4 linked regions of the Callithrix jacchus genome follow. The protein of the gene in region 3 interacts with the protein of the main gene of each other region in a pairwise test. Links are inferred from orthologs where the notes say so. Each region holds a gene or a part of one and is shown on either strand. Other genes may lie near its edges.

Region 1 (6,279 bases), on a different chromosome or scaffold from region 3:
CTCCCTCTCCCATGAATGCCCTTCTCTGCTCACATAGCGCTCAGGGCTGCCTGGCTTTCCGATCTCCATGTTCCTTCACATGACCCAGCAAATAAATTGCTTTTTATGCCTCCCTAGCTAACTTGGAGTCCGTGGGCTGCCGGGGTCCTCTAGTGCATAGCTTCAGAGTTTACAGGGGGAGGGTCTGGTGCCATCAGGAGCTGAGCCTGCTAACGCTGAGCTCCCGTGAGTGGCTGCTCTCTCTTTTCCTTAATTGGGGAGGGGGCAGAAGGTGGTGTCAGCCCACAGGAGAGATTCCTTGTTTTGACAAGGACGTCGTCCACAGGCAGCCACAGCAACAATGATCTAAGGAATCTGCCCAGATGAAGGAGAACTGCCCATCCCCAAAGTGAACAGAAATGGAGCCCCTGATATCCCCATTTGGGCTGTTACCTTAGCACCAGACTCTCCCATCCCGCATCAGAATCCTGGGTCACGGAAGAAAGCATTGGGGTTTTGTCAACAAGTGGGTGCCACGAGTTGGCTCTTTGAGGAAGGGACAGGCTGGTTGTGGGAAGGGAGCTCTGTCCTTTAACCTTTGGGAAATATCTCAGCCCATTTCTTTTTTTTCTCATTTGCAAAATGAGGTTGATTAAAAACCCCACCTCAGAGTACAATCCCCCTTTATAGATTTTTACTATATTTTCTTTTTTTTTACTTCCTAAAATAACAGCACAGACACATTAAGATAGATGCTGATATATTTATTTATTGACATAGAAAGAAGCTCACAACATATATTGTCTGGTGAAAAAATACAGAGTATAGAACAGCACTTATATTGCATCACTTTTATCTATACATATATCTATCTGGGTACATAGGTATAGGAACATATCTAGAAGGGCACTCATCAAAGGGTTGACAATGATTATATAAGGGTGGAGGGATTTGGGTAATTTGTACTTCACTTTTTGTACTTTTTTTATAGTTCAAAGATTTAACAATAATTTATATCACTTTCACAAAGAGAATAAAGCTGTCAAGGTAATGGGCACACACAGAAAACAGACCCTTAGGCTGCAAGGAGAAGGAGCAAGGACAGAGGTCAGGCTATCTCCCTCCAATGTGCTATTATCCAAGACCCTTTCTCCTCCACCCCAAAAGATAGCCGCTTGTGGATTAATTCATGCAGTTAGAAGCGGAAGCCCCACCCCACCCCCACCCCCACCCTCACCCCCACCCCATCCCACCCCAGTTTTCCCAGCGCTGGATGCTGAATATAGGTAAGGGTTTACTGAAACTTGGGGGCTGGTCCCTTACAGAAGCTGAGAGAAGATATTGTATCGGCCAAGGGCCCCTCTTGATCGCTCCATCTCGGTATGGGTCAGCTCCTGCAGGGTGATGATCAAATTCTCAAAAACCTGGGCCCTGTCACTCTCGTTGTCACAGGTTTCTTTGGAGTGACCCTCCTCACCACAATACGAACAGCGGAGAATGTGTTTTCGCTTCCTGGCTCTACGCATCTGCATCTCCCCAGGACCATTATTCTTAAAGCCAGAACCACCACTGGTGGAAGGAAACTGAGCCCTGGAAGTTTGGGGGGAATCAATGACCAGCACTTCATCCTGAGGTCTGGCCCTGTTTCTGAGGGAAGGGGCACCCCAGGGTGGAAGTGGAGGATCCTGAGACTCCACCAGGATCACATCCTCATCAGAGTCGTCATCGAGGGTATCATCAATCTCTATCACATTGCAGTCAGCACTGCCCATCACTATTGGCGGGGAGCCCTGAAATGCCACAGGGCTGACTGCCCTCTCCACCATCGACTCAGACCTTTTGGACCGCTTCCGATGAATAGCATCATCATCATCCCAATCATCTTCCTCCCTCACCATTCTGATTAACTCCAGGAAAGTGGGAAGCCGATCCTGCTCATCTGCATACATCCTGAGAAGCTCCTTAAGTCTGAGGCGGAGGTCCCTACTAAGGTCAGCGCCTAAAAGGAACTGCTGCAAGCGAATCTGGTTTGCATCTTTCTCAGCTATGATGCCTGCCTGAATAGCGTTCTGGAGCTGCACTTCTAAACGGATCACATAAAGGGAGGTTTTCTCCCCTTGTGCCTGCAGGGTGTTAAAAAATTTACCATGGGCAGTCATACTGCTTTCAGACTCCCCAAACACCAATTTCATGGCTCTCAAGAAATCTGCCACATTTAGATTAGGGTTGGTCGCCTGAAGCACACGCATGACCTCCCGGGCAGGGCCCCTAAGGGTTTTCATCAAGCGCTGGAGCTTTTCGTCCTCAGACATATTCCAATCTGGCAGGACCTCATTGACTTGGGTCAGCCAGTTTTCAAAGGTTTCTTCCCCCTGGGCTGGCACCATCCTCCCCGAAAACAACTTCATATTTCTCTCTGCCATGCTGGACATTATAGGACTGAGACTCCTCCCCAGGGACCTCATCATGGAATAGAGCCAAGGCGGCAAGGGTGAGTTCTGCCGCCGGCTTTTACCCACACGTGCAATGATGCTAGCCATGACTGACAGCGAGAGGGTATCTGAATATAACAAGAGGCCTAAGCTTTTTAGAAAAGCGTAATCTGCAGGCAGGAGAGGAGAGGAGGTGGCTCTGTCTTCCTGTCTCAGCAGGGGCTGTAAAAAAGAAAGGAGGGGGCTGTTAATAAAGGAGAGGGCTGCAGCTGCATTCTCCCTACTTGAATATCCTGCAGTACATTTTATATTTGCCCACTACCCTAAAAATAATCCCGCAAGAGATTGGCACTTACAACCACCCAGAGCTACCTGATGCCTGCGTGCTAGCAAGGTGCTTTTTGCAGCCACATCCATCCCTCCCACCAGTCCTCTAAGAGGGATGGCAACTGTTGCTCCAAATTCTAGGTGTAACAGTGTCTGGAGCTGATATTGGGCTCTCCAAAAAGAGTACAATGATCGCAGTTTGTGGAAATAAAATAAGATCTCATTAACCTCACAGTCTCTGTTCTCAACCACACCCCTTCTCAAAGTGTCCCCCCCCATCTCTCTCGTTATTTCTCAGATTCTTACACGAGCTCTGAAACAAGAGCACACCTTTATTTCCAGTCTCTTCAACCAGTGTTCTTCGTGAGAAAGCTCCTCTAGGGGGATAGGTCAACCTCTGTCCACAGGGGGTCGCAGATCCGGGTCCTCGAGCTTTCAAGATTGCGCCACAGCGGAGAAGGCCAGAGAAGGGGGGGTTAGAAGCAGCTTCACCCGTCATCCTGCTACCCACCGCCTCCGCTGTTGCCAGGCGGAAAATTCTCTGGCCCTCCTGAATATAAGCCAGAGACCAGCCCCCCCACCCTCCCAAGCATTACATTTCTCCCTGGAAACCGTCGTCAGCCTACCAGCTCTGCAATCAGCTGTACAGAATTCAAGTTCAGATGCGGCTTTGATGGCCTGCTACGGAGAAAAGGAATAAGAGTTGGACACACCCACTCACATATTCCTCACAGAAAGAGATGAGGAGATGCAAAGCAGGCTCCAGGCAAACAGCTTGAGATTCCTCCCCCCGCTACTCCTCGCCTCTCCCCCCACCCCTAAATCCAGGCAAATCCTACAGTATCCAGGTGAACCCCACCTCCTCCCTCAGCGCAGCCGGCGGGAGAGCGCTCCTACCCCTGCCTCGCAGTCACCGATTCTCCAAGCGGGGAGCGGCCCAGTAGTGGTGGGTCTTCCCCCACCCCTCTCCGCGCCGGGCAATCGCGCCCGCTTCTTTACCTGCGCTCCGCTCGTGAGCAGCTAGTGCTCCCGCGTCGCCAGCTGTGGATTCCGCCTTCTGGTCTACTCCACCCTGCAGGGGAAAATAAAGGGAGCCTCCTCGGCCGCTAAGCGACCAGGGGCTGCCCAAAGGAACTGCTTCGCAGGGCTGCCAGGGGTAGCCGAAACGAGGCAGCGCGGTTCCTAAGGCAGCGGCGACAGCTTTTATCCCTGCAGCTGAGACAAAAGAGCGTGACGAGTGGGCCAGTGCGGCCAATCAGCGAAGCGCGGGGGCGTACGGCTCGCACAGCCTTGGGCAGGGGCGAGTGTTCCGGGCAGGCTGGCAGGCGGAGGCGGGAGGGCACAGCGGGCCCGCGGAATCTCAAGTGCCCCTTGATTAGACCGATGGAGCCAATCTTCCTGTTACCCCGCAATTTGAGACTCTTTCTTTCTCGCCCAACCCCTCCCTTCTCCCGGGGCTCAGCTCTGCATCTTAGGCCAGGTGCATTAAACACAAAGTGGGTCCAAAATCAAGTATATAATAAAAGTTCTTCACCTTGGTATAGGGGAAAGAGGGAGAAGAGGGGAAGGGGCGGGAAGAGCATTAGCCCGTGCATTGTGCAAATAGGCTTTCACAGACATCTCCTCTTTTATGGTGAAGAAAGTGGCAGTATGTCCATTTAACAGAAAGGGGAGTTGGAGCACCAAAGCTCTCAACCGATACCCATTCGAGTATGGGTGCAAGACATCAGAGTCATTTGGGAGAGCTTGTTCAGAAATGCAGGCTTCTGGGCCTCAACTCTGGTGGATTCAGATTGACTAGGCCTAGGGGTTGTGGTGTGGTTTTGTATTTAGTATTTTTTTTATTGCATTTTAACTAGTGCTGCGGTTGGTTCTGAGGTGTAGTGAGGTTTGTGAATAAGTAAATGAGCCTGTCTCAAGTATCTGTCCACACTTATCTGTGACGAAATGCAACTCCAGAGCAAATGTGCCTACCTGGAATCCATGATCTTCCTGAAGTTTTAGGCAAAGATTTTGGACTCTGTATGAGGATAAATAAAGCCCCCCCACCCCCAATATATCAAGCCCTAATCCTTGAAAGCTGTAAATGTTACCTTATGAAGTAAAACGGTCTTTGCAGGTGTGATTAAATTAAGGCTTTTGACTTGAATTTCCGGGCAGGCTGAAATCCAAATCCCAAGTGTCCTTATAAGAGAGGCAGAGGGAGAGCCGTGCACCAAGAAGAGAAGGCAATGACCAGAGATTAGTGATGAAGTCATAAGCAAAGGAATGCTAGCAGTCACCAGAACCTGAAAGAGGCAAGGAATAGAGCACAGTCCTACTGACACCTTGAATGCAGCCCTGAGAAACCAGTGTTAAGCTTCTGGCTTCTAGAACTGCGAGAAATTAAACTTCTCTTGTTTTAAGCCACCAAGTTTGTGATAATTTATTATGGTGCTGTCTTAGTCTGTTTGGGCTGCTATAACAAAATACCATAGACTGGGTGGTTTATAAACAACAGAAATGTATTGCTCACAGTTCTGGTAGTTGGGAAGTACAAGTTCAAGGTGCCAGCAAGGTTGGATTCTCCTGAGGCTTTTCTCCTTGGCTTGCACATGGCTGCCCTCCTGCTCAATCTTTTGATAGTCATCCTCTCTGTGCATATGTGCCCCTGGGGTCTCTCAGTGATTCCAAATTTCCTCTTCTGATAAGGACACAAGTCAGATTGGAGCCTACCCTGAGGGCCTCATTTTCCCCTTAATTAACTCTTTAAAGGCCCTATCTTTAAATACTGTCTCTCTCTACAGTGCCTGGGGGGTTAGGACTACAACATATGAATTTGAGGGAACATAGTTCAGCCTGCAGCACTCCATTTTCCCTTACTTCTGGTTCTGGGAAAGCAAGTCTTCCTCCCTCATGTAAACTGTGGTTAAGAGACTCCTGTGGGGACTTTGGGGAGGTCAAGACCAAGTGCATTTGGACCATCCAAGTGCAAAGGAGTTGCTTATTCTTGATTCCTGATGCTTGGAAGTGAGTGAACAGTCTGATACCTTTCAGCTGCTGTTAGGTTCAGCTTCAGCCTACCAAGGTACTTCTGCTCCTTTCTGCCTTCTTATTTCCAACCCCAATACCTAGAATTCCTTGGAGTAAACAATCTACATCTAAAGACAAAGCATCTTCATCTCAGAGGCATGACCTTTCTCTTGTGGATGGAATACTGTAATGGTGACAATGGTGGGTGGAGGATTTTGGAGGTGCAGAGAAGGCAGGTTGCTTACTGCACACAGTGCAGGGTGATGCTGGCAGTAGCTTAGGGATATTCTTCAGACTCTTGCTTCTGCTCCCCAGTGCTACAACCTCTGACCCTGGCCTCTAAACAGAATCTTGTTCTGCATTTAAATTGGCTTCATCGCCAAATCAGGTGATCTGTAGTTGGACCTGGTGGCATCAAAAAGGACAAAGACTGTATCTCAGAGCTGTGCAAAAAATTTTGATTGTGTAAATGGGTTGGGTCATCGGAACCAAGTGAAGTCTCTTCATACAGGGCTTGGAGGAGCATTTG
Region 2 (5,845 bases), on a different chromosome or scaffold from region 3:
TGTGCTGCTAAAAACAAAAAGTTAGTAAAGGTTATGGACACACGGAGAAAAAAACAAGCTATAATACTAGTTAATAATGAAATACATTAAACATTATTTAAATATTAAAGTCAAATACTCCTATATTAATAAATAATTAAAAATTGCATTTGTCAATGGGAATACAGGCCAACGCCACCAGTAACAGGGATGGTCTAGTGCAAAGGGTGGCCACGAAACAACAACAACACACACATACAGAAAAGAAGGAAGAGGAAACACATTTAATCCTGGTATTGTTTCCAATAACAAACTAAACCAGTGGTTCTGAATCCTTCCTGCACACTCAAATTACCTGGAGAACTTCTAAAAACAATACTGATGACCAGGTCTCAAATTACATAAAAATGGGAATGAAGATTCAGGCATGGGTTTTTTTTCAAACTCTCCAAATGATCCTAACATGCAGTCAGGGTTGAGAGCAACTGACTGAAACCTACATACTTCTTACTGCTCCCTGACTGAGAAGAATGTCCTATAAATGTAGAAATAGAACTTTCCTTTACAGATTGGGCATACATGGGTATCTCCAGTTAGAAGTAACTTATGGGTAAGTTATTTATACTTCATTTCCATTAAAGTATCTACTTATACCTCTCCTCATTCCCTGTAATTCTGTATTCTCAAATTCCAAAACCAAGTAGAGTCAAACTACATTTTTGTAATAAATTTGTTACACTGAAAATACATTATTCATTCATGCATATAAGTATTTACTGAATGCCTACTATGTGCAAGGCACTGTGTTAAGTACTGCTATCAGACCATGTCATGGGAGAATGAATAGGGATTAGCTGAAAAAGTAATGGAATGAAATTTAATTCCATGGACCTAAATAAGAAGCTACATTGTCAAAGAGAAAAAAAGCAGTGCTTATGCTAAGGATCTGATTTTCAGATAGATGATCATCACATATTTGTCCTTTTCCTAAAGTTCCTCTATAGTTTTTCCATAAGCCTTTGAATATACATAAGGCAAATTCAAAATAGAAAAATAAACCTCATTCAAAGTAGATGTTCCTAATTTTAACCATATTCTGTATCAAGTAAAGTTCATTAATAAGTATAAATACCAAAAATCTTTACGGGAAGGTAGTTCATATTGACTTGTAGTAGTCTTGACAAGTAATCTTACATACATATATCACAGATTCTGGTCCTTGACTATTTCATCATGAAGAAAGTTTACACAACACGTAATTTATTCCGGAAACAGATCTATATGCTAAGAAAGCCCAATGGGAAAAAATCTGAGTTTTATCTTTAAGGAAAGAAGACACTAAAAAGGGAGGAAAACGGGTAGAATCTATTCAAACTTTCTAGGTATGCTAAAATCCAGTAATTTAAAATGCCAACTGTTCTCTTCTGAACAGCCTTGTAGATACCGTGTAAATAAATACCTTTTCTAGTTACTAGTGGTATGGACTTTGTGATTACTTAAAAGTAAATAATTTCTTCTCGTTTTTGTGACAGTGCTAAATTTCATAAAGAATCTAGATAATGTCAGCTTAACACCTATGAAAGGGATAAATGTTTGCCAACAATATGTTAACCTAGGAAAGAACTGCTGGGAATAACAAGGAAGAAAAAAATGACCTAAGACTGTGATCAGCAAAAATTCTGATGGCAAAAACAATTTGGGAAAGTAAAGCTTTCCAGTTGCTTTTAAGTAAAAAGAGCAAAATCAGGATTCAAGGAAAATGGTCAGTTGTACCTTGGAGGCAACATTTTGTCTAAAGTAGAGAAATAGTAAAATATTTTACTAAGTTAAAATATAGGTTTTATATTTTATACCATATTTAATACACACACAAAAATACCAGTGTTTTTCTCTTGTTTCTTTTCAATTAAGCAAATGTGTTCTTTGGTGTCTGGGAGTTTATCAATATTGAGGGATAATGGAAGATAAGAACTCCAAGACTGACAAGCCTAAACCTAAAACAGAAGACTCAAAATCCTATACCATAAAAATTAGAATCAAAGGTGGACTAAAGAGAAAAGGAGCTTAAAGACATACTGCAATAGGGCTGATACATATTCCTTCCCCAAATCATACTGTGGCTCCCAAAATAAAAAATACTACAGCCTATTATGGTTTTAATCTGTGTTTTGAAATTTTTTTCAAACGGAAAGATATCACAGATAGAAACACATCATTCTAAGTTTCAAAAATCACCAGTCAGTGAGAAGAACGTACATTCATTAAATGTTATCATTTGTAAATAAAGAAATCTTGAAAAGGCTGAACAGTTCAATCAAATTGAAGAGTTGTTCTTGATTTTTCATTATTCTTTTTAAATAAAGAGTAAGTGTAGATATAGTGTACATACAGGTTGACATTCTGATTCATTCAAAATGGTCACATCCCTCTGCTTGGTTTGGATGTTCCAGAGACTAAAATTTAATACCATTCATCACACAGTATTTTCAGTAAAAAGAATTAGAGAGCAATGAAAAATCAGAAGCAAGATGGCTCAGAGAGCCTTATAATCTCTAAATATACACACATTTATAACCTGCATTTATTTTCTAAAGAAACAAATTTTTTAAGTAATGCTAATTTAACCAATGGAGAAAAAACTTCTATCAAAATATACAATTTCCATTACAGACTAGAAGGCTAGTATTAAAAAAATAGTTGTAAGCCAAAAAGTTTGCTTATATGGATGACAGGCATCATCTCCTTGAAGCACAAAGCATCGAGTAAGGTTTTATAAAAGATCAATCTGTGACCTTCTTCATCTTTAAGTTCTTGATAAATTCATAAAGCTTGAGTCTCAATTTCCAGAAACAGAGGAGCCAAATAATTCAGAATCTCAAGTGGGATTTATGCTTTACCATGTACCTGAAAAAAAAGTATGATGGTAGGTCATAATGACTATAGAAATTTCGGAATTTTTAGAATAACGCATGTAAAAATAAGTTGACATTTCTTAAATCAACAGAATGTTGTTTTCTAGAAAACTGAAAATATAAGGACTTCTGGAATAAGCTAGAAATAACACTCCTCTTAAGTAATATAATCTAAAAGCTTCTAGCTAAAATGATATATATTTTTCACATCTATTGTGAGAGACTTACACCAAGATGTTACAGATTTTAAGGAGCACACCTCAAAGAGAATGGATTCAGTGGTACTCACTGTGAACATACGCTGTTCTTAAATCTGCCAATTACAAAACTGTTACTAAAGGGTTTTATCAACACTATACTAGTAATCAAAATAAATTTTAAAATTTCATTTCTTTTCATGAACTATGTGTAACACAGACGAACCCAGAATCAGAGATCTTTCAGTACTTGCAAAAACATAGGGCGCTTAATCCAAAGTTTCTTGGACAGATAATAAGGTTCAAAAAGGTCACACAGATCATTAGAGATTACAAAAGCAAGACTCAAGTCTAAGTCTTCTGACTCAATTTAGTGTTCCCTCTATCAGGCTATTAACTCTCCATCCCTTTCTAAAGTAATTATACAATAAAATTTTGTTAATTATTTACTGAAGATAAACATCAAATTAATGTTGAAAGAAGGAAAATAGGGAGTAAGATTCACAACTTTATGGAACTTAAAATTTAATTGAGGAGACAGAAAAATTACAATAAACCACAGATAAACACATTTTAGAATAAAAATTACCTGTCCAATGTTTCCCAAAATCGTAAGAACACTGGTCTATCCAAATGACGTTTGTGATAGCTAAGTTCTAATACTGTTACATCCCATTTCTGAACATTCGGATCCAGACGAACTTCATCATATTTCAGATGGAAGGCTTTAACTACAGTGTGGGGTGGGGAGAAGAAAGAATTTTTTACTCAAAATATAAACAAAATTATAAAAACATTTTACAGAAAATTTTTTACAAATCCAAATCCAATTAATATCTGGAATGAATTCAAGACATTAAACTGAAACCTAAAAAGAAAAAGAAAAAGAAAAAATTTCCACCAACTGAAGCCATAGTACAACCAAAGTGATTTTTTAAAAATATTATATTTAAAAATATTCAGGGTTTATATATGCCAGGCACTGGAGACTAAAATGAGGAATAAGGTAAGATAATATGCATATGGTCCAGTGAAGGACAATAAGAAAGACTGTAAGGGTACTAGGTTATTACAGAAACCCAAGAGTGCAACCTTACCTTGTAGACATTGTGGGTTCAGTTCCAGACCACCGCAATAAAGTGAGTACCATAATACAGTAAGTTACACATATTTCCTGCTATCTCACTGCATATAAAAGCTACATTAACACTATGTCATAGTCTACCTTAAGTGTGGAATAGCATTATGTCTGAAAAACAATGTATATGCCTTAATTAAAACATACTTTGTTGCTAAAAAATGCTGACAATCATCTGAGCCTTCAGCAAGTTCTAATTTTTTTTGCTGGTGTAGGATTATGCCTCAATGTTGATGGCTGCTGACTAATAGGGTGTGGTCTTTGATGAATGTTAGGGTGGCTGAGCAATTTCTGAAAATAAGATAATAATAAAGTTTCTGGCACTTACTGAATTTACCTTTCACAAAAGATTTCTCTGCAGTATGTGATAATATTTGACCGCATTTTACTTAAAGAAGAACTTCCTTAAAACTGGACTCAATCTTCTCAAACCCTGCTGCTTTACTATATTTATGTCATGTTCTAAATCCTCTGTTGTCATTTCAACAATGTTTACAGCATCTTCACCAAAGTGCTCACTGGAGTGAATTCTATCTCAAAAAATCACTTTCTTTGCTCATCTGTAAGAAAGAACTCCTCCCTCATCCATTCAAGTTCCAGCATGAGAGTGCAGCAATTCAGTCACATCTTCAAGCTCCACTTCTATTGCTAGTTCCCTTGCTATTTCCACAACCTATCTTCGGTTATTTCCTCTACTGAAGTCTTGAACCCCTCAAAGTCATCCATGAACCATGAAGGTAGCAATCAACTTCTCCTAAACTTCTGGTAATGGTGATATTTTGACCTTCTCCTATTAATCACAAATGCTCTTAATAGCATCTAGAATGGTAAATCTAGGAAAGTTTCAATTTACTTTTCCCTGATCCATCAGAGGAATCAATTTATAGCAGCTACAGCCTTTCAAATCTTATTTCTTAAAAAAAAAAAACCTTGAAAAGTCTAAATTACTCCTTGATCTATGGGCTAAATAATAGATGCTGTGTTAGTAGTCATCAAAACAAAATTCATCTCCTTGAACACCTTCATCAGAACTCTTTTGTGAGTAGGTACATCATCAATCAGCAATAATATCTTGAAAGGAATCTTTCTGAGCAGTAGGTCTCAACAGTAGCTCAAAATATTCACTGAACCCTGAGTCACTGGAAACTTTAGTGAAAATAGTTTTAGTACAGAGCAAGAGCCAGACTACAGGGGATTTGAACAGAAAATGAGTTGGTAGAAACAATTCTTTCTAAAGTGAAGCTATAAAAGGAAAAAGAAGCAGCAAGGGGAAAGGATGAGGTTAAGGGTAAGGGTTTTGTTTTGTTGTTTAAGATGGAAGGGGAAAGAGTATTCTTAAATGCTGAGAGAGGAGTCAGTGTAGAAGGAATAGGTGAAAGAGAAAGAATAACTAATTAAAGTAAATCAATGATGACCGTTAAAAGAAAATTCTCTAAATTCTTATCTAAATTTCAAAAGACTAACAATTTGAACAAAATAATAAAAAACATTTTTATATTCTTAATGAATTTCATACATTTATATCTTGAAGACACTCTAATCATTTTGCTGAAATATTATTATTCAACAAGGCAAGCAAGTAGGTAAAACAATACACACTGACATTTTACTTTGATTCA
Region 3 (5,845 bases):
AAAAAGAGAGAGAGAATCATCTTTAGTCACCTCTAAAACACAGTAGGAGAAACAAAATATGGTTATTCTTGTGAGAAGCGGAAAAAAAAAAAGAGCAGGACAAACAGCAGCATACTTATTAGTAAGCACAGAATCCTTATAATAAATATGCATTATAAAACAACATGCCAGGCAGGCGGATCATGAGGTCAAGAGGTCAAGACCATCCTGGCCAACAGGGAGAAACCCCATCTCTGAAAAAAAAAAGAAGAAAAGAAAAATTAGCTGGGTGTGGTGGCGTGCACCTGTAGTCCCAGCTACTCTGGAGGCTAAGGCAGGAGAATCGCTTGAACCCGAGAGGCAGAGTTTGCAGTGAGCTGAGATTGCACCACTGCACTCCAGCCTGGTGACAGAGCAAGACTCTGTCTTTAAAAAAAAAAAAAGAAGAAGAAAAACATGCCTCGATATCCTCAACTGTAATGGAAGATGGAAGAGAATGGCAAAAAGCCGGGCCAGGCGCAGGGACTCATGCCTGTAATCTCAGTACTTTGGGAGGCCAAGGTGGGTGTACAGCTTGAAGTCAGGAGTTCGAGACCAGCCTGGCCAACGTGGGGAAACCCCATTTCTACCAAAAATACAAAAATTAGTCGGACATGATTGTGCGTTCCTGTAATCCCAGCTACTTGGGAGGCTGAGGCAGGAGAATCACTTCAAATCAGGAGGCAGAGGTTGCAGTGAGCTGAGATATTGCCACTGCACTCTAGCCTGGGCGACAGATTGAGATTCTGTCTCAAAAAAAAAAAAAAGCTGACTTACACAAAGAAACAATCTCTAATAATGTCACTTCCTTTATTAAAATAAAGAAAAAAAAATGCCTGAATTTCCTCAACTGTAATAAAAGATGGAAGAGAATGGCAAAAAACTGGGCTGGGCGCAGGGACTCACGCCTATAATCCCAGCACTTTGGGAGGCCAGGGTGGGTAGATCGCTTGAGGTCAGGAGTTTGAAACCAGCCCAGCCAACGTGATGAAACCCCATCTCTACCAAAAATACAAAAATTATGGTTGATACTTTCCCTATCTCTCCTCAAAGAAGTAAAGTATGTACTTTATCTAGTAGCAGTAAAGCTGTTAAACTGCTCAGAGAAAGGTGTTTGTCTTACTATTACCTTTCATTGTGTCCAGAATAAAACATGCTTCTTCCTGAAAGTTCTGTATCATCTGAAAAAATCAAGAAAACTTGTGATTATTTAAATGAAAAAGAACCCCTTTATATTCCTGTGTCCCTAAGGACTAACCCACATCCAGAGGGATTTAGATGGGAGGCTTTACAGGCCACAATAGTGTATTTCTTGAATATCTATAGAGTCATAAAAGTTTCTTCCTCCCAATTTTCAAAAGCCTGCTTCACAAACTTTTTTTCCCTCCCATGTGGTTTTTAAATATTAAAAAGCTAAGCAGATTAGAGCAGTTATCTTAAAGCTAGGTATGCATTTCCCTGGGTTAACCCCAAGACTCTCCAAGGAGCACACAGACACTAATGTATACATACGGGAGAACTAACTTCCGTGCCTTCAACAACCATATGTGCTCTTTGCTAAAACTTCTTTAATTTTCCTTCCCCACTTTCCCTTCTCAAACTCCCTTCTCCCATTTTACAAGATAAAGGCATGAGTTTCACGCTCCCAGAACCCTAACAAGGTGCTCTGGCCCACGATGTAGGAGCTTCAGGTGCCAAAGTGGAGCAACAAAGGTGAACTCCAATAACTGGGCAACAAACTCTTTCATGAGCCACATGGTTTTTAACTCTTTCCTTTCACCAGAATTATGGAGTAACCTAATCACAAATTGTCATATGATAGAGGATTCAAAATGATTTTTTGATTATCACTATGTAATTTTTGGTATATAAATGTGAAGTTTAAAATAATCTAATGACATTGTTATTATAAAACTCTATCCATTCCTATCAATTTATGTGAGTCAAGTCCCACAGCATTTATATCTAGAGGGAAAAAAAACACAATAAAATCGATGCTGAAATCCTATGTCATTCTAGCAATCAATAGGCAGTATTCATCTACAAAGGAAATAATTATGTGCAAGGGTACAGGTAGGGAATGAAACAATTTCATCCAACTCATTCATAGATACACCTGTAATACTTTTTTTCTTTTCTTTTCTTAGCTCACCACAACCTCTGCCTCTGCCTCCACTTCTGCCTCCCAAGTTCAAGCGATTCTTCTGCCTTAGCCTCCGACATAGCTGGGATTACAGGTATGTGCCACCACGTCCAGCTGATTTTGTATTTTTAGTAGAGATGAGGTTTCTCCATGTTGGTCAGGCTGGTCTGGAACTCCCAACCTCAGGTGATCTGCCTGCCTCAACCTCCCAAAGTGCTGGGATTACAGGCAAAAGCCACCACGCCTGGGCTTCTTAATGGTTAATAATTACTTATTAAAACATGTAGCATATTTACATTATTTTAATCAATTGTAAATTATGATAATTCCATTCATAATAATTTTTAAATTTTTATTTAAAAACTTTGTTTCAAACAAATATAGTAGGATAATAAAAGATGTTTGTGCATAAAAATATGTTACAGTAGGCTGGGCATGGTGGCGCACGCCTGTAATCCCAGCACTTTGGGAGGCTAAGGTGGGTGGCTCACGAAGTCAAGAGATCGAGACCATTCTGGCCAACATGGTTAAACCACATCACTACTAAAAATATAAAAATTAGCTGGGTGTGAAGGTGTGTGCCTATAGTCCCAGCTACTCTGGAGGCTGAGGCAGGAGAATCACATGAACCCTGGAGGTGGAGGTTGCTGTGAGCTGAGATCGTGCCACTGCACTCCAGCCTGGAGACAGAGTGAGAGCTCCATCTCAAAAAAATAAAAACAAAAGTTACAGTAAGATGGCCGGCCACAGGGGCTCACACCTGTAATTCCAGCACTTTGGGAGGCTGAGGCAGACGGATCACCTGAGGCCAAGGGTTCGAGACCAGCCTGGCCAACATAGCAAAATCCTGTCTCTACTACAAATACGAAAATTAGCTGTGTGTGGTGGCACATGCCTGTAATTCTGCTATTCAGGAGGCTGAGGCAGGAGAATCACTTGAACCCAAGAGGTGGAGGTTGCAGTGAGCTGAGATTGGGCCACTGCACTCTGGCCTGGGCAACAGAGCAATACTCTGTTCCAAAAAAAAAAAATTTTTTTTAGGAGGAAAGCAAGCAAAAAAGTATGAAACCCTCTGATCTAGAAAACAGAACACTCTGCTCCAGGAGAACTGCTCTTGCTCCGTGTGCTGACAAATTAATCATCATCTGGTAATTCAACTGTACTGAAAAATCTACCTCATCACTGATGAGCACATGAATTCCTGTTGGCCCCTGCTTGTAAATCTGGCTGATCTGGCAAGGGGAAATGCTGAAAAGCTGAGCAATTTTTTCTGTCAATTCAACAGCTGTCAGTTCTTCTAGATAGATAGCATGGTAAACTGCAAAAGGGAGAGAGCAACAGCAGTCAGTACAAAGTTTGTCTGCTCTTACAGGTAACTTGATCACTAGGAACGCCCACTTCTCTGAAGGACTCAGAAATCAGACTGCCTAAGTTCCAATTCTGGCTCAACCACTTGCAGCTGTGTGACCTAGGATACGTTATTTACCCCTAGGCCTCATTTTTCTCACATAAATACTGGTGATAACAATAAAATCCTCTGCAAAGAGGAGATATTAGTTTTATATCTATTAAATATATAAAGATATTAATATTAAATATTAAAGCATATAAAAAGTATTAGGAATAGCACCTGGCTGGGCGTGGTGGTTCACACCTATAATCCCAGCAATTTGGGAGGCTGAGGCAGGGAGATTGCTTGAGCTCAGGAGTTCCAGACCAGCCTGGGTGACATAGGGAGAACCCATCTCTACAATAAATAAAACAATTAGGCAGATATGGGATGCACACCTGTAGTTCTAGCTACTTGGGAGGCTGAGGGGAGAGAATCACTTGAGCCCCGGTGAGCAGATGGCTGCAATGAATCATGATTACACCACTGTACTTCAGCCTGGCTAAATTGAGTGAGAGTCTGTCACTCCCCACCCCCCCAAAAAGGATTGCACCTGCCATATATTAGGAGTGCAAATAAATGCTAGTGATTATTGTTATTTCTAGCAGACAATGAATCTACTTTCTGATAGTTTCCCATCACAGAGGCCCATAAGTTGTCTCTTCACCTTTCTTCGTATCTGTCCTGGTCTGTCCAGAACAACCTACCGAAGAAAGTACCATTTGAGTCTCCATCCTCATGCTTCTGTTGCTGTTGCTGCTGCTGTTGCTGCTGCTCCCTCAGCTGCAGTGATTCCTGACAAACATAAATGGTTAACCTTGGACGCACCATCCTAAAGGGAAGAAAAAGGCTAATTAGTCTTACATTCTTTATGGTAAGCACAATAAAAAGAAGGGAGAAACTGTGTTTCTACATTAATAGTACAGAGCAGATGAAAAGTAGAAGCTCAATGGCCAAATGCAATTAATTCACTATGTTTTATTAGTTCCCCAGTGGTAGGGCTATTTTTTTTCCTTAAGTGGAATTAGTTCCAATATGAGGCATCATATAAACCTCTGAACTTGTGGCTTTTCCTGAAGACTCAGATCTAGCAATCTTAAGCCCACATTCTCACATGAAAACAATCAGCTGTTCTCCTTATATGATGTATATACTCTTTACCCCTGTCTTGACTGCCATTCATTTGCATTACCTGTATGTCCTCTGTAGTCATTTGAGTTTGTGACTTATTGTGTAAAAGTTAGAAATAGTCAAGATACATAGGCCACCGTCTTATGGGTCAGGTTCAGGATATACTTTTTACTCAAAAATGCCAACACAGTAAACTAGATCATCTTATTTTTCTCATTACCTTCTCCTAACTAGCCTAAGTCCTTTTTCTGTTCTTCTTAGAGAAAGGTATTTAACTACCTCTTGATCTGATCATCTTACTCTTTCTTATTTCTAAACACCCTTTAGATAATATTGAAAGATCAATTATTTTTCCCCAAGTCATCAGCCCCTAATTTCACTTCTTTCCTTAAAATTTTCCAAGATTTGGCGGGCGTGGTGGCTCACGTCTGTAACCCCAGCACTTTGGGAGGCTGAGGCAGGCAGATCACCTGAGGTTAGGAGTTCAAGACCAGCCTGACCAACATAATGAAACCCCTCTCTACTATAAGTACAAAATTAGCCGGGCATGGTGGCACATGCCTGTAATCCCAGCTACTTGAGAGGCTGAGGCAGGAGAATCGCTTGAACCCAGGAAGCAGAGGTTGTAGTGAGCCAAGATCGCACCACTACACTCCAGCCCAGGCAATGACAGCAAACTCCATCTCAAAAAAAAAAAAATTTTTTTTTTCCAAGATTTAACACCCCTTATGATGTAGAAAAAAAAAAATGACTGGGTACGGTGGCTCACACCTGTAATCTCAGCACTTTAGAAGGCCAAGTCGGAAGGATTGCTTGACTTCAGGAGTTTGAGACCAGCCAGGGCAACATGGCAAAACCCCACATCTACAAAAAGTACAAAATTAGGTGGGCATGTTGGTGCATGCCGGTACTCGCAGCTGCTCAAGGAGCTGAGGCAGAAGGATTGCTTGCCCCCAGGAAATCAAGGCTGCAGTGATCACACTCCAGCACTCCAGCCTGGGTGACAGAGCAAGACCCTGTATCAAGAAAAAAATGCCAAAACAAAACCAAAATAAATACTGCACAATCTGTTTTTCTGTTTAGTCATTGATTTGGTTCTGCTGCCATTGACCTAAATGCCTTCTTCATCAAAGTTACTACTACCTATTTAAAATGGCAACTCC
Region 4 (5,845 bases), on a different chromosome or scaffold from region 3:
CACCTACCTTCCCAAGGTGTTGGGATTACAGGTGTGAGCCACTGCACCTGGCTGTCTGTTTACACTTTGTATAAATTTGTACAGTTTGGATTCTTTTGAGTCTGTCTTCTTATATCATATGTTAAATGAAGCTGTAATTTATCCTTTTTTATTACCATGAATATTCCACTGTATTCTATACCACAAATTTCTGTTGTACTTCCATGTTATTTCCAAATTTGAGGATACTGCAAATAATGCTTCTGAGCACAGTGGCTCCTTCCTACAATCCCAGTGCTTTGGGAGGCTGAGGTGGGTTTTTGTAGAAGTGGTGTTTCACCATGTTGCATGAGCCACCATGCAAAGATGGCTGGGCGCAGTGGCTCATGTCTGTATTCCCAGCACTTTGGGAGGCCATGGCGGGCAGATCACTTGAGGTCAGGAGTTTGAGACCAGTCTGGCCAACATGGTGAAACTCCACTTCCTCAAAAATATAAAAATTAGCCGAGTGTGGTATTGCCCATCTGTCCAGCTACTTAGAAGGCTGAGGTGGGAGAATTTCTTGAACCTTGGAGGCATAGGTTGTGGTGAGTCAAGATGGTGCCACTGTACTCCAGCCTAGACAACAGAGTGAGACTCCATCTCAAAAAAAAAAAAAGAGAGAATCTCCCTCTGTTGCCTAGGTTAAAGTACAGTGGCACAATTATAGTTTCCTGCAGCCTTGAATTCCTGGGCTCAATTGAGCCCCCTATCTCAGCTTCCCAAGTAGCTGGGACTAAGATATGCGCCACCATACATGGCTAATTTTTGTATTTTTTGTAGAGACAGGGTTTCACCATGTTGCCCAGGCTGGTCTCAAACTCCTGAGCTCAAGTTATCTGCCTGCCTTGGCCTCCCAAAATGCTGGGATTATAGGTATGAGTCACCGTGCCTGGCCCTAGCTAATTTTAAAAAATTTCTTGTAGATATAGATTCTTGCTATGTTGTCCTGCCTGGCTGTTCTCAAATTCCTGGCCTCAAGCAGTCCTTCCACCATGGCCTCCAAAAATGCTGGCTCATGCCTGTATTCCCAGCACTTTGGGAGGGCATGGCGGGCAGATCACTTGAGGTCAGGAGTTCAAGACGAGCCTGGCTAACACGGTGAAAGATGTGAGCCACTTCAGCTGGTCAGCTTGATTATTCTTTACCCCCTTGTTGATTCTCTGATTCTTAAAGAAGCTTGTTAAAAATGTTTTGACAGTCTTTCTTAGTTCTGAGCTGGAAAGTAGTCTGAATGACCTCGTCTGTCATTAACTGGAACTTATTTGAGGAGCCATGATTTGAATTCAACTGTATCTTAACTTTAAGATCTATGCTTTTAACCATGTATTTTATGTATTAATCCATTTTCACACTCCTGATAAAGACACACCCAGACTGGGCAATTTAAAAAATAAAGAGGTGGCCAGGCGCGGTGGCTCAAGCATGTAATCCTAGCACTTTGGGAGGCCGAGGCGGGTGGATCACGAGGTCAAGAGATCGAGACCATCCTGGTCAACATGGTGAAACCCTGTCTCTACTAAAAATATAAAAAATTAGCTGGGCATGGTGGTGTGTGCCTGTAATCCCAGCTACTCGGGCGGCTGAGGCAGGAGAATTGCCTGAACCCAGGAGGTGGAGGTTGCGGTGAGCCGAGATCACGCCATTGCACTCCAGCCTGGGTAACAAGAGCGAAACTCTGTCTCAAAAAAAAATAATAAATAAAGAGGTTTTATTGGACTCACAATTCGACGTGGCTGGGGAGGCTTCACAATCATGGCAGAAGGCAAGGAGGAATAAGTCATGTTTTACATGGATGGCAGCAGGCAAAGAGAAGAGAGACCGTGCAGCAAACTGCTATTTTAAAAACCATTTATTCACTATCACAAGAACAGCATAGGAAAGTCTTGCCCCTATGATTCAGTTACCTCCAGCCAGTTCCCTCCTACAACACATGGGAATTCAAGATTTCAAGATGAGATTTGGGTGAGGTCACAGCAACCGTATCATTATACTTATTATACTTTGTTGTATTAAATCTAACATAAAGAGTAAAATATTTATGAATCGGACCATAAAAGTAAACATTATTTTATCCTTTATATTTTTTATATTTTACAGGGCAAAAGTCCCAAGACAAAATTTTAAGGCTTGTATTCTATTTTTTGTTCTGCAGTGAAGCAAATAAGCAACATGTAAGATGTCAGAAATGCCTGGAATTTGGACATTGGACTTATGAATGCACAGGAAAAAGAAAATACCTACATAGGCCCTCAAGGACAGCAGAACTAAAAAAAGCTTTAAAAGAAAAAGAAAACAGATTATTATTACAACAAAGGTAGGTTTACATGTGTTATCCAAAGGAATATTTTTTAAAATGTATATTTATAGAATTTATTAAAGGACTAAATGTTTCATGGTGGTTCTCCAGATTTTAATTATATTACTACGAATGTTTAATGGATGCTTGCTATGTGCCAAACACTGTTCTAGGGTCTTTATAAGTATTAGCTTATTTAAACCTGACATCTACACTATTAAGGTAGGTAATATTACTGTCTTTTTACATATGAAGAAACTGAAGCAAGGAAATATTGAACGATTTACTCATTGTTACACAGCTAGTAAGAAGAAAAAAATAATCATTAAATCATGCAGCCTGTGCCCCAGATTCATTGTCTTAATCATTTTGCTCTGTTGCCTCAACTGTCAATGAAATGACAGTTGAATTAAGAGATAGATTATATGAGCTGACATAGAAAGCTTTATATATCAGGTATATAAAGAAGGTAGGGAACAGAATATATAATATGCTGTGATTTATGTTTATAAAAAGAAAAATTGGCTGGGTGCAGTGGCTCACACCTGTAATCCCAACACTTTGGGAGGCCGAGGCGGGTGTATCACATAAGTCCAGGAGTTCAAGACCAGCCTGGCCAACATGGTGAAACCCCATCTCTACTAAAAATACAAAAATTAGCAGGGTGTGGTAGTGTGTGCCTGTAATCCCAGCTAGTCAGGAGGCTGAGGCAGGAGAATCGCTTGAATCCAGGAGCTGGAGGTTTTGGTGAGCCAAGATTGTGCCACTGCACTGCAGCCTGGGCAATAGAGCAAGACTCTGTCTCAAAAAAAAAAAAAAAAAAGGAAAAGAAGCAGCATCTTCATAAAGGTTATTAGTTATATAATAGTGTCTTAAATATTTAGGCTTTCAAGGCAGCAGTCTTCCAATCTGCTGGACATGAAACTTCTTCAAAAGTTGTACAGGAATAGGTAAATAACCAATTTCTAAATTATCAACATTCATATGCAATTTTTCCTAAAACAAATCTAGATGAGAACTTCCCTACTGGTCTGCTTTTATACTTCCGCTTTTCCAACAAACCTTCTCTAATCTCACAAAAGAAAGGTATACCTCTCGCCTATCTCTAATACTTTAGTGTGTTGTCCTCATGTATAAATACCTAGATGGTTTTTCAAAATAGTGGTATTTGTATTGAGAAAGTAAATGGCCATAATAGTTTTGTTTGTTTTGAGACAGGTTCTCACTAGGTCTCACTGTGTCACCCAGGCTGGAGTGCAGTCTCTTCTCACTGCAACCTCCAACTCCTGGGCTCAAGTGATCCTCCCACCTCAGCCTCCCAAGTAGCTGAGACTTCAGGTGCATACCACGATGCCTGGCTTATTTTTTGCATTTTTTGTAAAGACAAGATTTTGCCATGTTGCCCAGGCTGGTCTCAAACTTCTGAGCTCACGCAATCCACCTGCCTCAGCCTCCCAAAGTGTTGGGATTATAGGTGTGAGCCACTATGCCCAGCTGGCCATGATTTTTGAGAGTAAGTTCTTTTTTTTTTTTTTTTCTTTGAGATGGAGTTTCGCTGTTGTTACCCAGCTGGAGTGCAATGGCGCAATCTTGGCTCACCGCAGCCTCCACCTTCTGGGTTCAAGCAATTCTCCTGCCTCAGCCTCCCAAGTAGCTGGGACTACAGGTGCCCACCACCATGTCCAGCTAATTTTTGTATTTTTAGTAGAGACGGGGTTTCACCTTGTTGACCAGGATGGTCTCAATCTCTTGACCTTGTGATCCACCTGCCTTGGCCTCCCAAAGTGCTGGGATTATAGGAGTGAGCCACTGTGCCCAGCCTGAGAGTAAATTCTTTTTTAAGGTTTTTCCCCCAACAAAATTGGTGGGGGACCTAATTGAATTGTCAATTTAAAAATATTTTTTACTGATATATTCTTATATGACTTGTGGAATGTAACATAGAAGGAATGCAGAGAATTGAGTGATACTGAAGTAAGAAGTCTTTCCATTTCCATGATTCTATTTAGGTTAAGGTTTCTCCAGGTTAAATCTATAAAACTGTAAAATAATTTAATTCCCAAAGAGCCATCTCTATTGAAAAAATAAAATTTAAAAATAGGAATTTAGCCAGGCGTGGTAGCTCACGCCTGTAATCCCAGCACTCTGGGAAGCTGAGGCAGGCAGATCACAAGGTCAGGAGTTCAAGACCAGCCTGGCTAATATGGTGAAACCCTGTCTCTATGAATAATACCAAAAAAATCAGCTAGGCATGATGGCACATGTCTGTAGTCCCAGCTACTTGAGAGGCTGAGGCAGAAGAATCGCTTGAACCTAGGAACAGAGGTTGTAGTGAGCCGAGATTGTGCCACTGCACTCCAGCCTGGGCGACAGAATGAGACTCTGTCTCAAAAAAAAAAAAGAATTTAATTGATGTCAAACCTGGTCACATTCTACTCTGAAGTTTTTATTTATGGATATATAAACTAGAAAAAAAATCTGTCATTAGGAAATACATTTCTGGACCAGGCACAGTAGCTCATGCCTGTAATCCCAGTACTTTGAGAGGCTGAAGTGGGTAGATCACTTGAGGTCAGGAATTCGAGACCATCCTTTCCAACACGGCAAAACGCCATCCCTACTACACGTATAGAAATTAGCTGGGTGCAGTGATATGCACCTGTAATTCCAGCTACTCAGGAGGCTGAGGCAGGAGGATCACTTGAACGTGGGAGGCGGAAGTTGCAGTGAGCTGAGATAACACCACTGCACTCCAGCCTGGGAGATAGAGTGAGACTCTTACACACATACATGCACACACAGATATATGTTACCAATAAAGTAACAGTTATTAAAATTTATAATATTGTCCAGCTGCGGTGGCTCACACCTGTAATCCCAGCACTTTGGGAGGCCAAGACAGGAGGATCACTTGAGGCCAGTGCAACATAGCAATATTCTGTTCCTATTAAAAAAAAAAAAAGTTAGCTGGATGTGGCAGCGCATGTCTGTGATCCCAGCTACTTGGGATACTGACTTGGAGGATTGCTTCAACCCAGGAGGTCAAGGTTACAGTGAGCTGTAATTGCACCATTGTACTCCAGCCTGGGTGAGAGAATGAGACCCTGTCTCAAAAGAAGAATTGTTAAACTTTTTCTTTTTTTTGGGATGGAGTCTCACTCTGTTGCCCAGGCTAGAGTGCAGTGATGCGATCTCGGCTCACTGCAACCTCTGCCTCCTGGGTTCAAGCCATTGTCATGCCTCAGCCTCTCGAGTAGCTGGGACTACAGGTGTGCACTACGGAGCCCAGCTAATTTTTTGTATTTTTAGTAGAGATGGGGTTTCACCATGTTAGCCAGGATGGTCTCAATCTCCTGACCTTGTGATCTGCTCGTGTCAGCCTTCCAAAGTGTTGGGATTATAGGTGTGAGGCAACATACCCGAAGTTTACTTCCCTCTCTTGTTTTTTTTTTTTTTTTTTGTCCTACATGTAAAGATCCCCCTCTTATTTTACTCCCAAAATGACAATTCGGTAAGGAATTCCATTGT

What was found.
Region 1: the proteins of TFCP2 (region 3) and ZCCHC12 interact in binary tests that used the Homo sapiens proteins (3 or more experiments, as listed by UniProt). The two-hybrid records come from large-scale screens. The link is inferred for Callithrix jacchus from reciprocal best matches to the Homo sapiens genes TFCP2 and ZCCHC12.
Region 2: the proteins of TFCP2 (region 3) and CDC73 interact in binary tests that used the Homo sapiens proteins (3 or more experiments, as listed by UniProt). The two-hybrid records come from large-scale screens. The link is inferred for Callithrix jacchus from reciprocal best matches to the Homo sapiens genes TFCP2 and CDC73.
Region 4: the proteins of TFCP2 (region 3) and ZCCHC10 interact in binary tests that used the Homo sapiens proteins (3 or more experiments, as listed by UniProt). The two-hybrid records come from large-scale screens. The link is inferred for Callithrix jacchus from reciprocal best matches to the Homo sapiens genes TFCP2 and ZCCHC10.

What each region holds. Positions count from the first base shown.
Region 1 is NC_133524.1:114,745,522-114,751,800, reverse strand, and holds ZCCHC12 (zinc finger CCHC domain-containing protein 12), read right to left. Parts: upstream 3,916-6,279; 5' UTR 3,636-3,915; intron 3,420-3,635; 5' UTR 3,365-3,419; intron 3,171-3,364; 5' UTR 3,069-3,170; intron 2,634-3,068; 5' UTR 2,520-2,633; coding exon 1,299-2,519; 3' UTR 729-1,298; downstream 1-728. UniProt on the Homo sapiens protein: Transcriptional coactivator in the bone morphogenetic protein (BMP)-signaling pathway. It positively modulates BMP signaling by interacting with SMAD1 and associating with CBP in the transcription complex.
Region 2 is NC_133519.1:50,416,735-50,422,579, reverse strand, and holds part of CDC73 (parafibromin), read right to left. Parts: intron 3,820-5,845; coding exon 3,678-3,819; intron 2,884-3,677; coding exon 2,847-2,883; 3' UTR 1-2,846.
Region 3 is NC_133510.1:68,339,640-68,345,484, reverse strand, and holds part of TFCP2 (alpha-globin transcription factor CP2), read right to left. Parts: intron 4,384-5,845; coding exon 4,259-4,383; intron 3,909-4,258; coding exon 3,792-3,908; intron 3,480-3,791; coding exon 3,337-3,479; intron 1,200-3,336; coding exon 1,148-1,199; intron 1-1,147.
Region 4 is NC_133503.1:75,424,510-75,430,354, forward strand, and holds part of ZCCHC10 (zinc finger CCHC domain-containing protein 10), read left to right. Parts: intron 1-2,173; coding exon 2,174-2,335; intron 2,336-5,845.